Linked DNA regions of Arabidopsis thaliana. The protein of the gene in region 2 interacts with the protein of the main gene of each other region in a pairwise test. Each region holds a gene or a part of one and is shown on either strand. Other genes may lie near its edges.

Evidence for each region.
Region 1: the proteins of AT1G19450 (region 2) and AAT1 interact in a protein complementation assay, tested with the Arabidopsis thaliana proteins (one large-scale study listed by BioGRID).
Region 3: the proteins of AT1G19450 (region 2) and LAX3 interact in a protein complementation assay, tested with the Arabidopsis thaliana proteins (one large-scale study listed by BioGRID).

Annotation. Positions count from the first base shown.
Region 1 is NC_003075.7:11,266,486-11,274,912, reverse strand, and holds AAT1 (amino acid transporter 1), read right to left. Parts: upstream 4,929-8,427; 5' UTR 4,596-4,928; coding exon 4,187-4,595; exon of another isoform or gene 2,949-4,186; intron 2,606-2,948; coding exon 1,943-2,605; intron 1,851-1,942; coding exon 1,138-1,850; 3' UTR 914-1,137; downstream 1-913. Other genes in the region: EMB2271 (Transducin/WD40 repeat-like superfamily protein), read right to left, coding at 1-1, 223-605; AT4G21110 (G10 family protein), read right to left, coding at 6,139-6,294, 6,859-7,046, 7,147-7,240; AT4G21105 (cytochrome-c oxidase/ electron carrier), read right to left, coding at 8,189-8,236. UniProt on the Arabidopsis thaliana protein: High-affinity permease involved in the transport of the cationic amino acids (e.g. arginine, lysine, histidine, citrulline, valine, and glutamate). Transport mostly basic amino acids, and, to a lower extent neutral and acidic amino acids.
Region 2 is NC_003070.9:6,731,264-6,739,690, forward strand, and holds AT1G19450 (Major facilitator superfamily protein), read right to left. Parts: upstream 3,762-8,427; 5' UTR 3,371-3,761; coding exon 3,173-3,370; intron 3,051-3,172; coding exon 2,988-3,050; intron 2,877-2,987; coding exon 2,787-2,876; intron 2,672-2,786; coding exon 2,612-2,671; intron 2,524-2,611; coding exon 2,458-2,523; intron 2,369-2,457; coding exon 2,303-2,368; intron 2,208-2,302; coding exon 2,132-2,207; intron 2,024-2,131; coding exon 1,959-2,023; intron 1,874-1,958; coding exon 1,781-1,873; intron 1,705-1,780; coding exon 1,624-1,704; intron 1,542-1,623; coding exon 1,457-1,541; intron 1,359-1,456; coding exon 1,312-1,358; intron 1,247-1,311; coding exon 1,184-1,246; intron 1,090-1,183; coding exon 1,030-1,089; intron 940-1,029; coding exon 874-939; intron 778-873; coding exon 718-777; intron 636-717; coding exon 408-635; 3' UTR 148-407; downstream 1-147. Other genes in the region: AT1G19460 (Galactose oxidase/kelch repeat superfamily protein), read left to right, coding at 7,221-8,427.
Region 3 is NC_003070.9:29,199,960-29,208,386, forward strand, and holds LAX3 (uncharacterized protein), read right to left. Parts: upstream 3,460-8,427; 5' UTR 3,359-3,459; coding exon 3,188-3,358; intron 3,106-3,187; coding exon 2,920-3,105; intron 2,817-2,919; coding exon 2,704-2,816; intron 2,621-2,703; coding exon 2,437-2,620; intron 2,337-2,436; coding exon 2,239-2,336; intron 2,150-2,238; coding exon 1,684-2,149; intron 1,468-1,683; coding exon 1,273-1,467; 3' UTR 458-1,272; downstream 1-457. Other genes in the region: AT1G77700 (Pathogenesis-related thaumatin superfamily protein), read left to right, coding at 4,788-4,863, 5,189-5,312, 5,388-6,258; CCP2 (ubiquitin-fold modifier), read left to right, coding at 6,791-6,858, 6,935-7,032, 7,463-7,495, 7,854-7,936. UniProt on the Arabidopsis thaliana protein: Carrier protein involved in proton-driven auxin influx.

The DNA.
Region 1 (8,427 bases), on a different chromosome or scaffold from region 2:
CCTGACACGGTAAAGTTTAATCAGAGTATCAGTACAAACAATCTCCAAGCCATTATATAAAAACTAATGTAAACTAATTCCTAAAATTCCATAAAACCTAAATCACAAGCATTTTTGAAGTCTATGAATACGTAGTTAAACAAGTCCTGAGGAGTGGTTTCAAATATAAAAACCTAGCTCATGGACTCAAATATGAAAAATAACAACTTTCTTCTTCATTACCTCAATGCATTGGCTCTCCGAACACGACCACTCTTCTCGAGCTGTTCCTGCATTAGAGTCTTTGCCACAAGCGAATCTCTAAAATCATCATCTTCCTCGTTATCTTCTTCATGCTCTCTCTGTTTCGCCTCTTCGATTCTATTCAAAGTATCCTCCGCCAGTCTCTTTCGTTTCTCGCCTACCGTCTCATGAGCAAACTCATCCTCCACCTCCTCACCAACCTTCCCTTCCTCTTCAGATTCTACAGATTCGATATCATCATCATCATCGTAATTGAATTTTCTCCGCTTCTCTGTCTCTTCCTCTAAGAAAGGATCATGATCGATGGAACTCTTTTTCCCTCTTCTCTTCGCCCCAATACCTTTCTTCTTCTCGAGTTTCATTCTTCTCTCCCTCTCTATCACACACAAGCGAGCGAGAGAGAACGCAGGGTTTACTGGCGATGGAGAAAAAAATACAGAGTTTGTTTTCTTCTTTGTTCTGTCTTAAATAAGAAATCCACAAATTGCCCTAACTTTCCCCGCAAACAATACTAGGTTAATAGGTTTACTTCATGATGGGCCTAACCCACAAATTAATCAACTTACTCATAAACAAATTAAATGGAAAAAAGTATCTTGTGAATTCATAAATTAAAACGTTGGTAACTCGAATAAGTTGATTTTTGGTTTCAAATACGACATACTTTTGTCACACATCTATTTTACTTGAGAAGGATTAAACCAGACCTTAATTATCATGTTTGATGCAAATGTGAAGAAAATCTATTAACATATTGAAAATCTAAACAAACCAAAGACATTACAATTCTTGAGATCAGAACACTAATTAACCAAACGAAGAATCTGACAACTATTAATAAACCCGAATCCAAAGCCAAACACTTTAACAATATATTAAAACCAACTAGTGAGCTTAAGTTGCAGAACAAGAATTATCAGCAACAACACCACCTTCCTCAGCTTTCTGCAATGCCTGCTTCTCCTTCAACGTCGCCTTAGCTGTATCATACGTTGCGTGCAACCCAAACAAGACGTAATATATGAGCAGAATACCTGTCCAGATTGCAAACCTAACGAACGATTTTGTATCGATGGAACCAAGAAGGAAGATATTAATAGCGATGGAAGCAGAAGGCAACCACGGAACCAAAGGAACACCCCAAATTTTCGGAGCCCTAGCTTGCGGTACAAGAAACTTCATGGCAACCGTAGACAGAAACCATATAGGAACCGTAATGCAATACCCAATCCAACCTTCTTCTTCCAAAGCCCAATAAACAGCAGTCGCGGTAGAGGACGCAAGAATCAAACCTAAGAACACTAAAAACTTGTTACGGTCACGGGTCGATGTTTCTCCGGTGACGTAATATCTTCTAACGAGAAGAGCCACAGCAACGAACATGAAGATGAAAAGTGTGGAAACAGACAAGAGATCGGCTAAAATTTTCAGTTTTGTGAAGAATGCTATGAGAGCTGTCGCGGCAAGCATTACCACGGTCGCGTTAATTGGTGTTCCGGTCTTTGCGTTGACTTGAGCTAGCCATGGAGGCATCATATGGGCTCGGGCTATGTGTGTCATGTACCTAGCTTGACCAATGGCCCCAACTAACAAAACCGTCGTCATACCTAAACATTTCAAAGATTAGTATAGATTTTAGACTATACTAAATGTAAACGCAAACGCAAATAAATAATGAAGGCCAAAATCTTTGGCATACCTTTAAGAGCCCCAAAGGCGACAATGTACTTAGCCCAATCCCATCCAACGGCAGAAAACGCAACCGAGAATGGCGCGTCCGGATCAATCTGTTGATACGGCTGCATAAGACACAACGTAACCGCCATGAGACAATAACAAACCGTAGTAACCACCATCGATCCAACAAGACCAATAGGAATATCTCTCCCTGGATTCTTTGTCTCCTCAGCCATCGTTGAAACCGCATCAAATCCAATATAGGCAAAGAAAAGAACCGCGGCGGATTTAAACACTCCTCTAACGCCGTAAGGAGTGAAATCGCTGTAGTTTTTCACATCGGCTTTAGTAAATCCGGCGATGATAACAAAGAGAATCACGACCATGTGGATTATAGAAGCAATGTAATTGAATCTTGAGGAGCCTTTTGTGCCAACGACAGCTAAAACACAAATGATGGCGCAAACGCCGACGGCTATTGGATCTAAGTGGCTATAGTCTTCGCCGAGTTTGTGAACTATGATGCGGAAGTCTTCAGGTTTATGGTTTAAGAGAGTGGCGAAGTAAGAGGTCCACGATCGAGCCACGGCAGCTCCACCGACAACGTATTCGAGGATTATGTTTCCCGCGGCGATGAAGGCCATGAAGTCGCCGAGCTCCACTCTTAAGTAGGCAAAAGAACCGCCTAAACATTGACTCAATGGTTATGTAAATTAAATAGTAAATATGAAAGAAATTACATAATGTTTTTACAAATAATTGTGGGCGAAGTAATGTATGCGTTTGAGTTTCTATTTACGATAATATTCAATTTGAGTTCGAAACAACTTGGAAGTAAAAAATAATTTTGAAAATGACTCCACTTTCTACTTTCTAGGACCCAAACATAATCTCTAGTGGGATTTCACTACAAGTTATTTCGAAAATGAAAAATATATTTTTGAGTAGTAATACTATATTAAATTAATTTACTTTTGAACTGTCAATAAAGGCAATTTACAAGCTTGACTTATATAGTTGGGACTTACGTATATAAGGTCATTGACGTAAGTAATCATCTGTTTAGCTTAATTTCTTTGTCTGTATGTAAAAGTCTTCTAGGTAGACCCCATGACTAAAATTGTGAAATTACAAAGTTTTAAATACAATTTTAAAAGTAGCTAACAATCTAATAAATGGCAACAAATATTTTGCAACTCTAAGATAATAATCAAATCATTCGATTGTTTAATTTGTGATTTGATAGTATTGTAGCTACTATCAAATTTAAAAGGAAAAAAACGGAGGATAAATAGTAGATTGATACTAGATAGTGTGAACGACCCTCATAAGTCAGATGTCAACTAGTTGACCCCAGAGATTCCGTCACGCTACGAGAGTTGAAAATTCAATATTTGTTCTATAGTAATTTTTGTAATAAAGAAGCTGATCTTATTCATTTACACATTTTAAACCTAAATAGTTTTTTTTTTTTTGGTTTTAACCTAAATAATTTACAAGTAAGACAATAACTACATTTTTAATTAATGTTGAGTTTAGAAGTATTACTAAAAGCATATCGTATGGTTGACTCTTTGTACATCAACAGAATATTTTATTGGTCGTTGTATTGAGGTGAATTATGCAACTGATATATAAAAAAAGGACTCATAACCACTAGTGACTCCCAAAACATGGGACAAAAACTTAATCGACACCGAACCAAAAAAAGAAGGATTAAGTTGCCGGAAAAATGCACCAGCATAAATGATTGAATCAAGTAGAATATTTTCTTATTGACGAAGTTGTCAGAAATGATACGTCTGCATATTTATTAGATCTTGATAAATGTACGCTACATTTTTCTATTCCCTAATTATGATGACACTATAGTTAGAATATCGCTAGAAAAGATATCCTCAAATATGCGTTTCGTTTAAACATGTAAATCGTAATTAAAACTAAATTTAACCAGCTAAGAGACTCTTAGCCTGCTTAAACGTATTTTCCCTATCTTCCTACTTATGACACTAATCCTAAAAAATATAGTCTGAACATTTTCTTGAAATTCGCATATTTATGACCGACGTTACAAAAAAATAGGATCTGTTAAGATGCGTCTTTAGTTCAAAGATGTAAAAATGAAATTTTAAACTTGTAAATTTTAATATTTTTCAACTTTTTCAAATTAGAAATTCTCTAACAAGAAAATATAAATATAACATACCAAAAAAAAAACGAAAATATAAATATAAATGAGAAACAGAGGAAATGATAATTTTGTTACCTGCGACGGGAATCTCAACGGCGAACTCGGTGTAACAAAAGACGGAGAGCATGGCGGAGACACCAGAGACAACGTAAGACAACACGACGGCTGGACCGGAATGATTACGTGCTTCGAGTCCAGTGAGAACGAATATCCCAGAGCCGATGACTGCACCGATACCAAACCACATGAGATCCCACCACGTCAACGTCTTCTTCATCTCGTGACCACTACGAGCCTTCATCTCGTTAATCTCGTCGGAGTCTAGTGACCGAGTCATAATACGATCCATGAACCGACTCGGTGTTTCTTTAAGGGCTTTTAGGTAATTCCCCATGCTTTGGAACGATTCTTCCGGTAAGAAATCGTCTTTTGTGCATGAACAGCCTCGCCGACGAAGCCCATCGTCACCACCACCCGAAGCCATTTTTTTTGTTAGAAAATTATGTTGATCCAGATTCTGATTCAGATTCAGAATCTGAGATCGGTTTTATAAAGACTCTGTTTTTTTAGAGTGAATGGTAAGAAGAGAAACTGAAAAGTGAAAAACTCTTTAGTTTTTGTAAATTAATAACAGAATTTTGGGTTCCTAAAGTCTGCCTTACTTATAGTAGCTATCCTTTGACGTTTTTCTTGTATTTATTTCTTTCTATAAACAATTATTTATCGACGGTTTTGTGTAATTAGCTGGAAATGTGATACGGTAAATTAAATTATGGAAACCTTAAATAGAGTCCATGAGATTTTGTTCTTGTTGTATGGTCACTAGTTGGTCACCAGCTGCATTCTTTGACCATTTTTTCTAAGAAAAAGATGAAATCGAATTATAAATGTAAACAAAATCTGGTGTGCCATAAAAAGAAAAGATCATGTGTGATACGAATTTTTCCATCGGATCACGTCTTCTGGATAATTCAATAGTACTTTCTCATTTAAGTAAAATGTTATATCCGTTATACTCAAAATTATGATATATAAAGAAAAAGTTATATGTTCAGTTTCAAACTTGTATATGAAATTTATTGGTTTTAAACAAAACTCGACTTAGTTGATAATTGGGTTCTAATTCACACCAACCACTTACCACAATTGCTCCTCCTATTACAAGCGCGTCAAGAAAATGATTTAGCCTCCCCTAATTTTTCAAGTTTTTTTTTTAATGTTTACTTCCTCTAGTTTTGTATTAAACGATGTCCAAGAACTGTGATCCTATTTTTGGTTTCTTTTGTGCTTCCAATAAACCATGAAAAATGAACCCAAAAAAAAAAAGAACGATCATGGATTTTGGATCATGTATGTATGTTATGTGAGTTTAAAGAGAAGAAAGTCCATCGAGTTTCACAAAGCATCTAGAGCGAGCGTAATGGGCATCTCTTCTCGTTTTGGACCTTGGTGGACATCTTGTTTAGAACATACATCATACATGCATTACACGATAAGATTAGAAATAAATAATACTAATCCATATGACCAAGACGAAGAATCTTGTTCCACATGGAAACATAGGGGCAGGTCAACTGTAGTGAGAACCAATACAATTTTGAAGTCAAAACAATTTCCTTGGATCAAGCAATCAAGTTTCGTCTAGATAAATACAAGAATTAATAATTATTTCTGCTTCAATAATATCTTGTTCTATCACCGGTTGACCAAAACATAACTCACGGCGTCATGATAAACTTGCTGCAAATCTCACGAATTTAGAGAAATTGACACTTTTGGGAATAGTAAAACACTCTTTTAATTCAGTAAGATACCAAACCGGGAAACGTCTTTCTACTTTCAAGTTTCAACTATATACCAAACCGGAACGTTCTTTTTATTTGCAATACCACCCAGAGTTGATAAGTAAGAGCAAGGAGATTTTTAGTCAGGGTTTTTAGCCTTTATGGAATAATACATAATCCAGATTTAACAAGTGACAAGATTGTAACAAACAGTCAGAGATAGCGAATAAAGCTATGTTGAATTTAATCGCCACTCGCGCATCCTTGACAGCCGCAGTGAACGCATTCGACCACTTTCTCTTCACGCAAGTGTTTGGGAACACGGCATACACATGTTGTTCCATAGTTGTGGTCTCTTGGCTGTATGCAGCGCAAGCAGCATAAACGTTCGTATCCCGACTGCAAAACACAAAACAGAGAGTTTTTAGAGTTACTTAACACAAAGTATAGAGACACGTATAAATGACAAAATCTTAGTTCAATGAAAGAAAACAAAAGTGAAATCTAGGTATATGTCTGGATAGTATAACCTACAAAGAGAAGATGCAACAGAATTGACAGGGAGGAGTTTGTTAATAAACGATTCATGAGTGACCATCATTAAGATGTGGGAGTATGGTTAGAAGTTAGAACTATCCAAAATTTGGCAAATCGTGGAGGCAATGCACTTTGTTCGAAGTATAATTACCAGAAATCTTATTTCTTCACCAAACAAAGCAACAATACCAATTCTAGAACCTATTCGTTAGTGAGATCATTCCAAGTAAGTGCATATGCTAAGGACATATATTTCAGAGAAACAGCTTCAAGACTCATTGTGCAGTAAGGCGATACTAGACTCTCTAAACTAATACAACAATATTTTACATAATAGAAACTCCAAATCGCTTCAATTTGGCCTTAGACAACTAACTAAAAAGGCATACAAACAGAAGTTAATTCAAGAATGATATAAAAACATACCTTTTTCCATTTGGCAATCAGACTGCGATCTGCATAGCCCTGGTCCAAGCAGAATTCATAGAGCTCTTTAGATATTTCTTCCCTTCGGTAATAAAGGTCATATACATACCGACTCCTCTGATGAGAAACTTTGAAGATTGGCCATAAAGTTTCACACTTTCTCTTACCATCATGTGAATCAGTCTCAGCTGCACAAGGAACACGATAGTTAGAGCAAAATCACGGGAAAAAGAAACAAGCAAAAGCATATGTTATTGAGATATAACAAAATCTTTATATGAAACTAACCTTCTCTCATCTTGGCATCAAGCTCTCGAAGAGTAGGCTCGATCAACTCCCATCCTTCTGGGTACTTGACTCGGTTAGTTTTAACCTTTGGCATTTTCTACACAACGCAAATTCACAACGTTAAACAAAGGAACAAATTAAGCAAAATGGGATACTTTCACCAAAACGAGAGATTCTAAGACTTTCATAGTTCCAAAGAGATTCTCAATTAAGCAATTGAAACAACAAGCAAGGACGCTTCCGGAAAATTAGGGTTTCTGCGTCAAGGCTACATCCAATACAACGCAGAGGGTTGATCCAAACATAAATCCAGAACAGTCTAGATAAAGTTTCAGTAATAGAAGGTGAACAATTAGGGTTTATCAATCTCTGTGTTTTGGGATAGAAGGGGAAAATTTAGGGTTAAGAACCGAAACAAAAGGAGGGTGCCGAAGCAAGATTGGTATGAGACAGAAATTGAAGAAGCTTACCTTTGGACAGGACGAGGGAAGTTGGAGAAGGAGAGATCGCGGCGCAGGACAAAGGAAGAAGAACCAACGTCGTCGAAGAAGCCTCTTTAGGGTTGTGTTCGGAAATCGGTATAACGAGTGGTTTATCTTGGGCCGCTCTTACGAATAAAAATATTCTTTTACTGTTATCTTTAAATTGGATAAGACATTTTAAAAAAATTACATAAAAGTTTTTCTGATGACGAAGTTTAGCACAATTTTCAGGAATCCTGTAGTGATTTTGTATTTCCATTTTGAATAGAAGACGGATGCTTACAAACTACAAAGTTTAGTAGAACGTGGAAGTAACAAAACCTATAGGATTCAACTTGGCATAAATGCAAATAGAAAATCCCCAAAATATTGGAACTTTATAACATCAAACATCTTTAGCTTTCGACATTGTCTGCAACTAAGCAATTATTTGGCAAGACGGAATAAACAGCTTCAAGAAAAAGACCAGTGCAACCTTAGTCTGCTACTGCATATGGGCAGTGACTGATACATTGAGAAACCAAAAGCATATAAAAAAGAAGGAAAAATCAAGAAGCTGCTTATTCCTTTTTGCCGATTCCATTCGACATGTTGTAGATTCCTGTTCCCTGTATTTAGCCAAACGTTTCTTCCATAGTTAGATGATGAACAAAGTTAAAGAAAGCTGAAGCAATATTGATGTAAGTAACAAGTTCTAAAGGGTGACATTCAACTTCAAACCATTGTGAACAGACACAATCAGCAAGGAAATGAACAAACCATTAGTAAAATAAGGAAGAACAGACACAAAGACAAAACA
Region 2 (8,427 bases):
TTTTCTTTTTCAAATCGACCGCCGTTTGCATTGGAAATAGTCCTTTCATGTTCGCCAAACAACAAAACTCCCAAAGCAGTTTCTATCACATGGTAGCTTTCCCATTTGGATCCAAAACACTAACATTTGCATTTCTGATTTTCTATACTTAATTCAAGATATTGTTGAATACACAAATATAGTGCTATTAATCTTGAGAATCCGAAAAATTACACACAAAAACAAAAAATCAAATTTAAAGGTATAATGATATGCTTGTACAAGATAAACAAATTATAATCAATGTCAAGAAGAAATACATTGAACAAAGCATGAAATACAGACACAGGGAAGGGACAAAAGAATGATCTGTAATGGAGAAAGCAAAAAGTGAAAATTTTGTCTTCTTCTTCCTCTTCTTGTTTTGATCATCTGAACAAAGCTTGGATCTCTTCAAGCGTTTTTCCTTTAGTCTCAGGAACCCAAAGACTCACAAAAACCACAGTGAATCCACAAACCAAAGCGTAGAGAGTGAAAGTTCCCCCACTGCTCCATGCTAACAGCATATTTGCAGTCATTGTCACTAACCATGACACGAACCAGTTTAACAAAGTTGCTATACTTCCGGCTAAACCCTTTATATTCACTGGCAGAATCTGTTTTACCAACATTAATCAGTATTAAAATTTCCAGTTGTGATTTTAACACTAAGGAACACCATGTTTTAATATTTAGTACCTCAGACATAATCAGCCATGGAATTGGTCCCATTCCTAGAGAGCAAGAAATAACCATAGCCTGTAAATAACTCAGCCAGATTTAGTACACATACCGGGAAATATGTAAATAAGAAAGTATCTTTCGTTGTGTGAATGTATAAAACAAACGACTTACCACAACTCCAACTACGGAAACCATGCTTAGAATGTTGTACATGTTGGAATCAGGTGATACAAATTCCTAACAAAAGATTAAGAAACCTCAATATCTCATAATTAGAGTGACACTCTTACATTGTACAAGTAGAGATGTCAAAAGTTAAAATGTTACCTTAAGGTAAAATGCAACTGCTACAATCACGAGGCTTATCGTCATTCCGATAGAAGAGATCTGCATTTCAGAAGAAAATGCTAATATTATGTTATGCATACATAAATTCTTCAGACTTTGTAAGATATACAGATGAATCTCAAATATTCTTCACCATGAGTAGAAGCCGACGACCTGCTTTATCCACCAACCATGTCGCTATCCCAGTCGCCACTACCTGGTATAGAATGAACAACGGTTAGAAAAATCGAATCTAATGTCTCCTAGATTGAAATGATATACCTGAACAACGCCAACTCCAAATGTCGCCACATTACTTGATGTCACCCCTTAGTGAATGATAATTGCAAACAAAGAAGCATAGTTAGAAATCTGTTTATTCTATCTTAGGACCATTCCAATAATCAAAAAAAACATATGACTCTACCTGCAGATTCAAAAATTGTACTCGAATAGAACAAGACACCATTGATTCCTCCAAGTTGTTGAAGTGCAAGCAGCCCTATACCAACCTGTAACACAGATTACAGGAAAAGAGTGAGTTTCTCTCATGTGTTGACAAAATTAGTTCAAGAGAGGTAAGAGAAATTGCACCATCAGTGGGAAATAGTATCTCCTGCGCTTGAGGTCTACAAACCGAACTGCAGAACGTTTGCTAGATGATGCCACAGATCTCTGCAGAGTGCATAAAATGAAAATTTTAAATAAGACAAGAAATCACATCAAAGCATTTCTTCAGTTTAGTCACTACCTTGATTTCATTAACCTCAACGGTAATATCAGTCTCAAATCCACGAAGAACTTGCAATGAAGTTTCGAAATCATCTGTCAAACCCATCTTTGCCTACAATTACAACACCAAAACAATTTAGGATAACCAATAATGCAACAAACTCAACAATATAAGCAATACGGTTGTAGAGGCATACCAACCACCGAGGAGATTCAGGAATGAAAAAAAGACCCGGTATCAACAATGTACATGGCAATACTCCTAAACATAAAGAAGACAAACAAGAAAGTGATTAGACTGTATCGATCAAAATAAAATAAAAACAGGTATAGTTTCTCCCAAGTCAAGTCAAAATGTTTTGTGAGTTACCCAAAACTGCAAGAATTCTCCATGGAACAAAGAGACCGAGTAAATACGCCAGCATTATCCCAATTGTTACAGAAAGCTATAAACACAAAACATTTATTGTTTAGTGTTAACATATGAATCAGCTCATAAAATGAAACATAAAAATAGTGAAGCTAACTAAACATGACAAACCTGGTTAACTGAACCTAAGGCTCCTCTCATGGTCTGTGGAGCGATCTCAGCTATATATACGGGAACCTAAAATCGCAATTCAAAGGTGTGTAATTATATTGATCACTCCAAACAAACATTGCTGAAATCAAAGAAATAGTTGAATCTAATATTACCGTATAGGAGATAATCCCAACTCCGAAGCCTTCTAACAATCTTCCCATGTAAAGAAAAGAAGTATCCTAAACAAAAACCAAGAACAACAACAACTTAGTAGGTATAGAGATAAGCCAAGAATATCAGAAACTTTGAGAACACCAAAACACTCACTTTTGCAAATGATATCGAAAGCCATCCAATAATATTGGGAATTGCAGCAATCATCAGAGACTGTCAAAAGGAAAGAAAAACACAGTAAATAAGATACAACAAGAAAGAAGATGTTACATGACAAATTGTCACAGATGAGAACATGTTTTAGAATCAAGAAACAAAACTATTATACCCCTTTCCGTCCAACGTATTCAGCAATCTGACCACTCGCAATTGCTCCAACCATAGCACCCACATTGGATAGAGACCCAAACACAGAGTACTAAAACATCAAACAAGAAACCTAAAAGTCAGAAAATTACAGAACAAGAGTCTTTACAAAAAAAAAAAAAAAAAACAGAACAGTTCTTAAATAAAGATGGGACCTTCATACCTCTGATACAGTTAAACCAAGATCCTTAGTAATGGCAGCTTGAGTTGGTGAGGAATAACCACACTGAAAACAAAAAGATAAATCAAAATCAACACTTTCTTAGTCAATTTGAGCAAAAGCAGAGAAATCCACATTGATAAAAAAAAATATAAGAAAGTTGAGATATTTGTTTATGTTGTTCTTACAGTGAATCCGAATTGAATAGGACCAAGAGCAACAATCAAAACACAAGCTAAGACAGAAATTGAGCTGTCTCGAATAACTTGAGACGATTCCAACATACTAGATTGTCTCGAACCCATCCGATACCAACTTCCTGTGTGTAAGAACGGTCGCCGAAGATCATTTCTTCCCTCTTCCGTATTATCATCCCTAAAACTCATCTTTTTGTTTTTCTTAAATCTACAAAACAATCGTAATCTACAGAGAGAAAAAAGCACGAATCTTTCGGAGGATAAAAATGTCGATCCTAAACTAGAAAATGCAGAAGAAGAAAAATACGAAATTTGAGGTAGGATTTGAGTTTTGGGTGAATTCAAAAAGATGTTAGACTTGTTTTGCTTAAGAATTCTTCATGGTTTGTAAAAATTGAGCCTTTGCGTGGAGAGACGCAGACTGTTTCATAGTTTTCCACCTCAGAACGCGTCGCCTAACATCGATTTATAGAATTCGTAAAGGGACCTGTTTTTTTTCTTCTCTGTCGACAAAAAAAAACTTAATTTAAAAACATTTTAATTTGTAATTAAATAAGATATCGTTCATTTTAAATTCTTTTATATCAAATTTAACTATTGTTTTTTTTTGTCTGATTGTCGTTTTCGAGTTATTTTTTGCGCAAAGATAATTTTTTGAATCATTGTCCCATGTTCGCTCACATATACAAGCATTTGTAGTCGCTTTGAATCATTTATTTTCTTCTACATACTTCTACATACTCATTAGTATTATAATGAGCTTTTACAATGTAACTAATTACGCAACAATACTATAAAATTGTGGTACAGGCTGAGACTAAACTATATTGTATTTTTAAGAAAATGTTTTTCTTTTTGTTTAGGTAAACTGTCTACTTCAAAGATATTTTTTGGTAGGAATAATAATTAAAACTTCCCATATTAGAATACGAGGCCACTAGACATTCCTTTTGACAACAAAAAGTGACAATGTCATTTTATATTTTAGCACTTATAATAATAGTTAGCATGCATTATAGAATTCATATTTAGATGTTGTCCTAACTCTTAACAAAATCAGAATAACAATATTGTGGGAGAAAATTTAGCTAAAACTTCAATTTAGGACAAATAATAAGATTATTAAAGTAACACTTAAATATGAATATAATGCTCGAATCCTCCTCTACTTTTTAGCATTTTCGCTACCTCGTTGATATTGATGTCGATAGGTCACAAATATGCAAGTGACATTATTTTATTAGATAAACTCGAATAATTATAGTTTTTGTTTTCTAGTATATGAAAAATATATGGATGTCATTAATTTCGAATACTTCAATAAATATAAATATTTATTCAGATACAACATTATTTATTTATTTTCAATATTTAAAATCTTTGAGAATACGACATGTTATTTCAATGTTTACCAATAACATCCTACTATATTATTTAGGAAATACATTTTAAATATAACTTTATTTTTTTGTAAGTAATTACATAGGTATGTCATTAGAAATAAGATTTTAAAGAGTAAATTAATTTATTTCTTTAAAAATTAAAAGTCAAATACTAATTTAATTAATTAAATTTAACTCAAAAACGAAATACATTATTAATTTCCAAAAAAGTAACCAATTAAAATCAACAAATTAGATTTGATATCTAAATTATCATATTAATTTTTTATTAATTATTATAGTTCACCTCTCATCTTTATATGATTCTATTTTTGCAAAAAAATAATATCATCGTTATAAAAAAATAATTAGAATTTTTTCGCATATGCCACAATTTGAATTTTTAAAAACGAATATAAACTGTTCAATACATGAAAAAATACTATAACGGGTCAAAAGTAGATTTAAGAAATTTTTTTACTGAGTACTGTGTCATAGTTTGAATATTTATATTCAATTTCATACATATTATTTTAAAATTTATAATCTTATATACTACAATAATTAATAACATATTAGATTTTTTAATGTGTATGATGTGATTCAATTTTTAATACAAGCTGAAAAATCCTACAATTGACGGGTTTAAATCAATATTAATACAAGATGATATACTATATGTGAAACTTTAAAATTAACAATCAAAATACAAGTATATAATTTTAAACACTAAACAATATAAATAATATCAACAAAACATATACAACTCGCAGTTTACTATACATTTAAAATCAAATAAAATAATATCATATATTTATAATCAACTTTACAATAAAAGTTTTTAGTTTAACTAAAATATAAGACTACCTGCTGTATAATGCAAGTTAAAATTATAAATAAGCCGATTACCATCACGATGGATGTACCATCTCACATACACACCTATCAAAAACTTAAAACCTTTCAAAACCTCTTGGTATATTCAAATTAGGATTCTTCATTCATGGAATCATTATTCCAAGGGTTTTGGGATGTCTTATGAAATGATTTTGGCAGAAGAAGATGTAAATTTTTTTGAATAAAAAGTAGTCACCAAAACATATGTTTTATTGGGATTTTTTAGATAATTAAATCAGAGAATAGGGCTAGGCATATGAGTAACCCATTCGAGTTCGGGTATAACCCGTTCGGATTTGGGATTAATGGGTATATGATTTACTACCTAATAGAATAATTCTAAATATTCGGTTCGGATCGCGTCCATTTGGGTTTAGGTCAGTTTGGATAAAAAGTTTCAGGCCCTAAAAATACTCAAAAAATAGAAACAGGTATTTTGTATGTAGATAATGCGTCTCCAAACAACAAAAACTTTTAAATTTATTAAATTTTAATAAATTTAATTATATTTAAATATATTTTACTAAAGTTTGACAAATATAACAAATAATTTTGACAAACATAGCAAACATAATAAAGTATACAATTTAATTTATACAAAATATTAATGTTCGTGCTGTATAGCACGAGTTATGATCTAGTTATGTTTTAAAACATAAGTTTAGATGACATTTTCAATGTTTACCAATAACATTATGTTTTAAAACATAAATTTAGATGACATTTGATGTTGTATTGGTGAATAAAATATATGTATTGGAAAAAAAAAAAAAAATCTCCACAAAAGTCATTCTCTCTTTTTTCTAAAATTCATTGAAGATATATTTTTAAAAAAAAAGAAAAACAGAGTGTTATTTACAGATGAATGAATTGGGAAACATTTAAGTAATTTTTTAAATATGATACGTATGTAACCTGTTAGTTGTTAATCTTCTTAGTTGTTAATAACGTCGGCATAATTGAGATCCCAAAATCACACAAGTTACATACACGAGGTTTTATTTTTTTAAAGAACTTCTAAATCGAGATAAATCTATGGTCGATAGAGGCAACGACAAGAAAGGCCAGTAGATATCACACCAAACACGTCTTATTGGGGTTATGATTCATAGGCTCTGATTCATCGTTCAACATATAATAATATTCTGTTGACCCAACAATGCAGATTCGTATATTTTCACTGTTCTGGGTCTTTTGTCTCTTTCTCATCTCTCACGTGTTAGTGCTTACATCTCTGTGTAGCCGTTTCCGGATCCCGACACAAGCATTCTCTTCCATTGTCCCCACTTTGCTTAGTTGGTCTGATACTTTTATCGGTTTTAATATCAATAAGTAACACGATTTTCACCATTTAACGAGTACATGCAACACGATTGTACATGTCACATTTATCTTGGCATAAATCTATCTATGATCGTTAACACGATTATACATTAAAAACTTTGGATCAATTATTTTTTATTTTCTCTTTTATTGTTGGGAGTAGTGTTCTAATTGATTTAATAATTTTTATTGAGAATAATAATCGAATTTAAAATGCAGTGTGTATTAGACAATTAGTGGACTTATAGAGGCTAATTTAAGTAACCAAATTTGGGCTTTAATAAGGATCCATACTCTTCGGCTTGAAAGCCCACATTGTAAAGTTAAAACACTATATCAGGCTCTGTTTTCATTATGGCTATAAATACACGAGTTTTTCCAGAAACCAAATCAGGCTCTGTTTTCATTATTTCTCGCTGCTGACTTCACAGACGACGATGGCTAATATCTCTGAAATTTCCGGCGACTCTAATGACGGCGGAGATCCAAACAAGAAACCAGAAGAACAAGTTTTGAGAAGAAGTAGAAGAATCGCGACAAGAAACGAGAATCAAAACAAGAAGCCCAAGGAGGAAGAAGAAAAAGATAATCGCTCGGTATCTTTTCCAATTCCAAACGAGCTCACGGAAGCTTGCGTCGCACTCATCCGGAAATGTGATTACCCTAGTCTATCTTCCGTCTCAAGTTACTTTTTCAATCTCATCGCTTCGTCAGAACTCTACGAAACGCGTTCGCGCCTCGGTCTTTCCGAAACCTTTCTTTACGCCGCCATCCGATTCCCTGACACAAATCCCCCAAACTGGTACATTCTCCATCGAAACAAGGTTTCTTCTTTACGTTTGAGCAAACTCGAATCACTTCCACCTGTGCCTTATGGATGTTCTGTCGTCACAATCGGTCAAGAGATGTATGTAATCGGTGGACTCCTCGATGTAAGACGTTTACAGTTGATGACTCTCATCGACTGCAGAACTCACAAATGTCGCTCGCTTCCGAAAATGAAAAGGGGTCGTTACCATGCAGCCGCCGGAGTATTCGACGGAAAGATTTACGTAATCGGAGGTTTCAGGATGAGAAAACCGGATGCTGAATGGATTGAAGTGTTTGATCTAAAGAAACAGATTTGGGAATCTTTGCCTGGTCCGTACCCTAAAACTAGTATGGATTCCCAGTTTTTTGCACATGCGGTGATGGAAGACAAGTTATACATTTTGGGCTCACGTTGCTTGATTTACGAACCAAAAAGAAACGGTGAATGGGACGCAACCGTCAATGCAAATCCAATATGGAATCTGTGGAAAGTGCCATGTACTATGCAATGTGTGATAGATGATATGTTGTATACGATTGATCCTCAGTGTACTCTTGGACATCCAATAGTCGTTTATAATCCAAAGGACAAAACGTGGAGACCTGTGAAAGGTGAATCTTTGAGGACATTGCCTAGTTATTTTGTTTCTGATGGGTCTGAAATGGCGAATTTTGGTGGAAAGTTGGTGATTTTGGGCAGTAATGGGAGCTGCTATGATACTGGTGATTGCATTGGAGAAAAAGGTATTTGGTGCGTAATGATCGAGTTGGAAAAACGTGAAGGAGGTGAGATTTGGGGGAAGGTTGAATCACTCGACTGTGTGCTTGGAGACA
Region 3 (8,427 bases), about 22 Mb from region 2:
TTTTGACCCCCAAAAAGGTTTCATTTTCGATAGTACCTAATAATAATATGAAGTTGTTAGTCAAATGTAACCATCTCGCAAACTCAACCCAAATGTCAGTTTTCGGGTAGACATGGTACTATGATAGTGAGTTTGTTCCAACTTAATTATTACGAGCTATATCGATATATCGCTTATGTTGTTGTTGTTGTCTACCTTGTTCCTTAATTACGTCATATGAAAACTAGTTCAAATCATGAACTAACAAGAGCAGTGTATTAAGTACTAGTTTCATTTAAATGATCTTTTAGAGTTTTCTATGACTATTGCATCTTTAAGTTTTTTTTCTAATATATGTTTACTTCTCTGATTGTTTTTATTCAATGATGATATCGCGATGAATTACTATTTCATCTTTATTTTTGTTTTGTTTGTGATACATCTATCAAAATTTGTAACCAATTTTGGTTTTATTTAAAAATGATCTAACTAAACGAATAATCATATGTGATTGATCAGTTATTTGACTTTACCAAGCACCAACCATTGAATCAATTGGTGTAAAAAGTCTGCCTAATTATGTACTAACAACACTGACACAGAGCCTGCCATTGCCTTTTGCTTCTTTTATAAAGATACGCCTTTCATTTCCCTTTTTGTGATGTGATGCTAATTTGCCCATGATGGATTCAGATCGGGATCACTCACATTCAGAAGAAAAAAAGTTAATTTAGATCAATATTTGATTGCTTCAAAGATAATCTAATGTATTCTAAAATAAAACTCTCATAATCTTACCCACATAAATTTATTTTACTATAGAGTATAGATGCACGAGGTTGTATGATTTTAAATCATGTATTTCCATATCATTTCATTTGGACTGATCGCAGAATTTATAGTCAATTTTCATCAAAAACTCAGTGCACTTCAAATGACGATGAAATTAAATCTCAGTAAAAGAGAATAACGAGATCATTAAACACAAAACACACATGAAACTTTCTTGAGCTATAGAAGAACACTAAATAATAATAGGGTTGGCCTAAGATAGCCATCACACCTTAACTAAGGAACAAAAAAAACCCAATTTACCAAAAATAACTCAACATAACAAATTAAACAAACCCGAGGTAAAAGATTATTGTCGTCAAACAATTACAAAGAGATGTGATTTTTAATAAATACTAAAAAAAAATTGGATGTAGTAACTTATATATATTAGATCTCGAAATCAAAACCCCCTTATATGAAACTCTCTTTCTAGAAGGTCTTGAATGGCAAATTTGTATATCATGGCTTGTGAGGAGGGCATTGGTAGCATTTGGTAAAGAGACCAAAAGTGTCGATCTGGCGAACAAAGTTGACCATACTTGCCCATCCTCCAAACCCGAACCCAACTACGAATACCCAAACCACCACAAATATGTTTATGCAGTAAGTCCCCATCCATCCTCCTACCACTCTCGGTGGCCTCTCCACCGCATTCTATTTACGATATATCAAACTTAACAAAAATTAGATATACCAAAATATTATTTTAGCTATTTTTACATAATCTATGATACTATATAATAATTTTAATATAAACTAATAATATACTATTTCCAATTATTCTTTGTAAACTTATACTAAAATTGTAACAAGCTTTTTATGAAACAATTATAATTTTAAAATAGATATTTTGGAAGTTGGAAATCTAACCTCTCTTGAAGGAGCAGGAGCAAAGGTAAGCATATGAGCCAATGCGGGGATGATGTAGACAGTGAAGCTAACTAAGAGAGATCCGACCGCGGAATTGATTGGTCCGAAAAAGGGGAAGATAATGGCTAAGAACCATATGGGTACAACCACGGGTAATCTAGCCATGGCTCTTTTGAACATGCTCTTCGTCTCATGCACACCTATCAATTTCTCCCACACAAAATATAACGGTGTAGACGCGAATCCGAACGTTATAAATTGATGAATGAGCATGAGGATCACTGCGGTATCTCTAAAACCAGTCTTAGGGAGAAGAGAGAGCGCATTGGAATGAGTTAGTAGCTTATCGCCAAACGCCCAATAAACCGCAGACGCGGATGGTAGCGTTAGCGTTAGTACATATATGGTCGCTAGTAGATATATCGCCTTGAACTTTTGCGGTTTCCACATAGCGTGCATTATCTCCCTATTATATTTTTTCAAATTTCCAATACATAATTAGTTAAGCCATTAATTAAGCCATTTTATTTTTCCAAACAAAAAAAAAATACTTACACTGTGACGGCGTGGCCACCAAAGGTGTAGAGAATGTTGGTGGCTCCGGTGAAGTAAAGCACCATTGTGGTTGGACCAGAGTGTTTCACATCCTCAGCCTTTTTTATATGAAAAATAAATATATTAAACAACAATAACCAGGACTATATGTCTATATCTTATAATAATCAAAACAAGATTTGTGTTAATTATAATGACCTGGCCATGAAGGAGTGAAGCAATGGTGAGATACCAAGAAGTGTAAGTGGTCATAGCGAGTCCGAGGAATGACCAAATTCTATAATTGTGGAAGGAAGGAATAAAAACAGTTGTTGCACAGCACGCCCCAAATATGTATGTCCATGTCCTCTTGTCCAATTTGTCATTAATATAATATATATTGCTGCAAATCATTTTTTATATTAATTAATTTTCAATATGAAAAAACCATATAATAAAGAAAATGAACATTGATTATTAATTTACCTAGCACAAGCAATGAGCTGAATAACAGATCCAAAGAGAAGAAAAGTGCAGTTAAAGATCAATCCAAGGTTCCTCCAATGTTTCCCCAACAATCCATCTAACACCTCAAACCACTTTTTTACACAAACAAAAAAAAACAAAAAGTTAAAATTCAATAATACCACCAAAAAAATAAAAAATTATAACGAGTCACAAGAATTAGAGGTGGAATAAAACCTGAATAACGTGGTTACGGAAATCGAATTTTTCTCGTTCTTTACGAGTTCGATATTCAACGTAAAGAACACTAATGAGATAAGCAGTCCAACTTCCCATTAATCCATAAAAGAGTTGAAACAAAATTCCCGACATCATCCCAAGTTGTGAGAACGAGTATGGTAATGTCAACAGAACTTGTGCCACCTGCCATTTTTATAACAATTTAGCTATAGAAGACGATACATACACATCTATATATAAGACTAAATCTGTGGGAAGTACATACCTGATTTGAAGCACAACTAAACCAAGCATCGTAGACAGAACCACCATGCCAGAAGAAATTAGAGAGTTTTGTTTTAGTTGAAGATTTCTTGTTACCACTTATGTTTTCTTCTTCCCTCTCCATTTCTAAGTAATTCCCTGCGACCACTGTCTCTATTTTCTCTGCCGCCATTTTTCTCTTCTTCTCTCAGTTTCTTTAGCTTCTTTACTTCCACTCTTTAAATAGACTAGTGAAAAGCTTTTTCATTTATTTATTTGTTTTATGGGTTTTGTTTCCTTTCTTTTGCTCTGTGTGCAATTATTGAGTAACGAGTGTCGGGGGACGAAGTCTTTAGTCACAGCTCACGAGTTGTCATGGGGATATCGGTTTATGATTGGTTGGTGACTGAGTTATGTCACCTACTTGTGACTGTTACTGTTTTCGGCGAGCGTGGCGTTGTTTTTTTAATGGGCTTGATTTGATTGTTGGGCTTATGGGCCATATTTCTGGAGCATTACACGAACGGGTAGGCCCGGTTTGAGATTGTTAATTATATATTGACCCCGATAATATGCAAAAAAAGAGGGTTAGCTAATTATAGATTTTAAAGTTTAAAGTAGTGAGAGTAGACTAATTGTAAATTGAAAATAGAAGTGATGACAATGATGTTTTTTTTTTTTGAAAGAAAGGCTAAACTATTATTATCATTAACAATTATTTGAATCATGATGATTGTAACAACTAGAAACAATGAATAAAACATATTGGTCCTTTCCTCCTTCTTGTGATGAGGATGATAACGATCTTTATGTAGAATAATCAATTATATTTCTAAGTTTTTATGTTTTGTCCGATTATATTACATAGCTGTTACCTGGAACTCGAAATTACATAAATTTATGCCTTTGTCTACCATATGGCATCGCACATCCAAACGCTTGATTTAGAAGTAGAAAAACTTGGTTAAAAGAGAGGAAGAAATAGTGATTTGTGAGGTAATCGAGGATTGGAGATGGATCCAATGGAAAGAATGATTGCTAATCAGGTGGGATTAGTGGTAAACATAATTACCACACGTGTCTAGCTGTCTAAGCTTTATTTAACTCACTAATTTCTTAGAAATGTCTCCTTTTTAGCCCCATACTTTTACAATGGATCGAATTATTAATGAGAAGGTATCATCATTTTAGATCTTTATAGCTTTTTAACCCGGCCAAAATGGATGGCAGCGGAAAGAAGACTCATCGCCAATTGACATTAAAATATGCATTTTCAAATGTTTTTTTTTTTTTTTTTTTTTTTGTGATTCAACCTTATTTAGGCTATTGAGATATCTCCAAAAGATATAATATTGTCGTCCCTAAATAGAGCAGATATTCAGATATCATTGGTAATAATACTGAAAAAATGGCGAGTCATTGTAGTTAAATAATTTGACATCTTGAAACCAGGAACTCGATTCTACTGGATGGTTACAGATGGTTCCCATAACGACAAAGATTGTGAGATTTGTTTTGATTTTCATCAATTTATCTTCGTCAGAAAATCTGTTTAACCAAAAAAAGGATCATGACTATACAAATTTATTAATGGTGTAATATTCAAAAAGCAGAATATAAGAATGGACCGAACAATTGAGATTGAGTTCGACATAAATGGGCCATATGATTCATTAATTAGGCCTAATATATCAGTAGGTAGATGAATTGACCCATGACATGAAGGCTAAAATAATCAATATCAACAAGATTATCCAAATTCAATAATAGAAGATACAAATAGACAGATAAAAAGCCACATACAGTATAGATCCTTGGCCATTTGGACTTTGATTACCTTAACAGCATCCCAAAGAATACTTGCATGAAACATCAGGAAACGAATAACACTAACTAACTCTTTCCCATATTCCAAAACAAGGAACCTTAATTATTTGAAAACACATATAGTACTACAACCGATTATTATAATTGTACCGATAGACTCTCCATGCAAGTTATTCTTTCTTCCTCCCTTAAAAAGCCAGTCTCACTTCAAGATCAGAAAATAACATTACATTTGATCCTAAAATATTTTCTAGTAAAGATGCCAATTCGTTTCGGTTTGTCACCAAGGATCTTGTTACTCTTTCTCACCATATTATCAGGTAAAATAATTCAAACATTATAGTATTTTCGATCGTAATTAAACGTCTTTCCTTGTCTAGGTATTAATTAATTAGGGTTTGGATAACGATTAGAACTCCTGTGAATTACTCCACAGGAACAAAATGGTCAGAATCAGCTCGAGTATTCACGATCATAAACTCATGTGACCAAACGATCTGGCCGGCGATAACTCCAGGAGAAAACTTCAACGGAGGAGGATTCGAGCTCAAACCGGGCCAATCCATCGTATTCCACGCACCAGTAGGCTGGTCAGGCAGAATTTGGGGACGAACCGGTTGTAAATTCGACTCAACCGGAACCGGAACATGCGAAACCGGTTCATGCGGATCAACTCTAAAATGTTCAGCCTCCGGAAAACCACCAGCTTCACTAGCTGAATTCACATTAGCCGCATTGGATTTCTACGACGTGAGCCTCGTCGACGGATTCAATCTCCCGATGTCGGTGACTCCGATGAACGGAAAAGGAAACTGCAGCGTCGCCGGTTGCGTAGCTGATTTGAGGCCACATTGTCCGCAGGAGCTCGCAGTGAAATCAAACGGGAAAGTCATATCGTGTAGGAGTGCTTGTGATGTGTTTGATAGAGATGAGTATTGTTGTAGAGGAGTTTATGGGAACCCAGTTGTGTGTCAACCAACTTATTACTCAAAGATCTTTAAACAAGCTTGTCCTACTGCTTATAGTTATGCTTATGATGATCCGACCAGTATTATGACTTGCACTGCCTCTGATTACGTCATTTCTTTCTGTTCCTCCAGGTTTGTCCTTTTTACGTTTTTAACAACATCTCATGATTACTTTAATTATGATTCTAATCAAGTTTCATTCATACTAGACCATGACTTTTACATTTACATGATATACTTTATTCATCCTTTGTTAATTTCATATGCAAAAGTAAAAGTAATTCAAATGCAGAAATAAAGTTATATTTTTTGGTCTTTGTTTTTGAATTGTGTGTAGGAAGAAGCCGGTGTGCACGTACCATGACAACAAGTTAGTATGCAGCGATGGTTCTGGTGGGTTTAAGAAGATGATTGGGAGATTATTGTGGCTTGTGTTGATGTTGTCTCTTGTTGTGTTTAGCTAATTTCATGACTATTTATTAGATAAATAAGTTTGTTTGTTTTTTATTGTCGAGGAAAATTTCTCATTGACTGTAAATATTTTTCTAAGTTTTCATGTGTAAATAATTTTAAATTTCAGAGCAAATGTAAGGTTGATTTGAGAGTAAAAAGAAAGATGAAGATACATTTTAAGAAAAAGATCATTTCCGTGGCTGAATTGTAAGAAAGCGTAATATATTAAAAATGGGCCTAAAATGGGCCTGAAGTGAAATTTAACTTTACGTTGGTATTATCTCTGGTTTCACATTCTCTTAACCCTCTTGGTGAATGCGTCATTGAAACGCCATTATCCGCCGTGCTAATCTGAATCTCCTCCCCCGTCGGAAAAAATGGCCACTGGTGGAAAAGTCTCCTTCAAAGTCACTCTGACTTCGGATCCTAAGCTTCCTTTCAAAGTGTATGCGAATCCTGACTCTTGTTTTTTCGATTTACGCCTGTGATTGGTCTCTAAGTTGTTTTTTTTCTCCGATCAGTTTCAGCGTACCAGAAGGAGCTCCGTTCACGGCGGTTCTGAAATTCGCAGCAGAAGAGTTCAAGGTTCCTCCACAAACCAGCGCCATCATCACTAATGGTATTAAACCCTTGTTGACATTCATTTTTAGATCCTGGGCTTAAACCGCATCATCTAGCATTATTGATTTAGGGTTTGTGAGTTTGTACGATAAATGGGACATATGCAGGACAATTGTGTTCCTTTCAAATTTGATTCATTTCATCTTCATATGTTTGTGCATTCACGAGAATGTTATCTTAGACATGAATCATGTAAATCTTTTCCTTGAGCTCTTTATGTATCTACAAAGTTTACAAGTTTAAAGCTTTCTGGTGCTGGAAAATCTTAAAGGGATTTGTTTCGAATAGAATTATAGTTCTCATAACTAATCTATGATATTTTGGGTGTGTTTAGTCATCTATTGATTATTAGTTTCGGCTGATGTAATCCATATTCATCAATTCTCAAGATTTCTGATGTGATGATGTATCTGTATTCATGTGTGCAGATGGGATCGGGATCAATCCTCAACAGAGTGCAGGTAACTATCACAATGCTAAACACTTGGTTATTGCGTTTTACTCAATTCTCTATCTTTTATGCCATTGCAATTCTCAGTTTTGTTTCTCTCTTGCATGCTTTGATTGCCAATGTACTAATAGAGTCTTAGAAGATCACTAGTACTGTCCTTAATGGTTGCGTGCTTTTCTTTTTTGGTGTTCCTTAGCCTCTAAGTGACTTCAGTGCAGTGTCCATAGGAAAGCAACCTTTAGATTATTTACACACAGTCGGGTTCCGCTGTAATATCTCAGCTGTCTTTTTTATGGTGTGGTCATTAGCAACATACAAGTAGAAATCAAGCTCCTTGTTAATGAATGTGGTGTTGTGAATGATGTCAGGAAACGTTTTTCTGAAGCACGGATCTGAACTAAGATTGATCCCGCGTGATAGAGTTGGAGCTGTGTTTGTGATGGATCCATAGATGATGTGTAAGCAATGATTAAAAACTCAGTTCCAAAAAAAACATAATAATATACTGAAATGCTTATGTACAACTTCGTTGAATAAATATGTAATCGTCACAATTGAAGTGAGTTGAATTTGGTCAAGTTATATGTCTGTTATAATTCATATTTAGATAACGTATGTGCACTAAAAAAGAGTATGGATCTCTCTGTATATGCTAACTCTTGTCAATATAAATATTTATCTTGTAATATAGTTTTTTTATTAAAATATATTTTTAACTTTTATTTTATTTTAAAGTTAAAACTGTAAGGTTTTTTATATTTTTTAAATAATATTTTGGATAAACTATTTTTTTGAAGTGTTTTAAGTTTTATATTTTGTGTAGACTTTGGATACAACATCCAAAACTAAGCGGTGTTTTAGATTTAATATGCTTTACATATAAAGTTTTTAAAATTCGAACCAAAAACTTGAATATTAAATTTACATAATAATAGGAAAAAC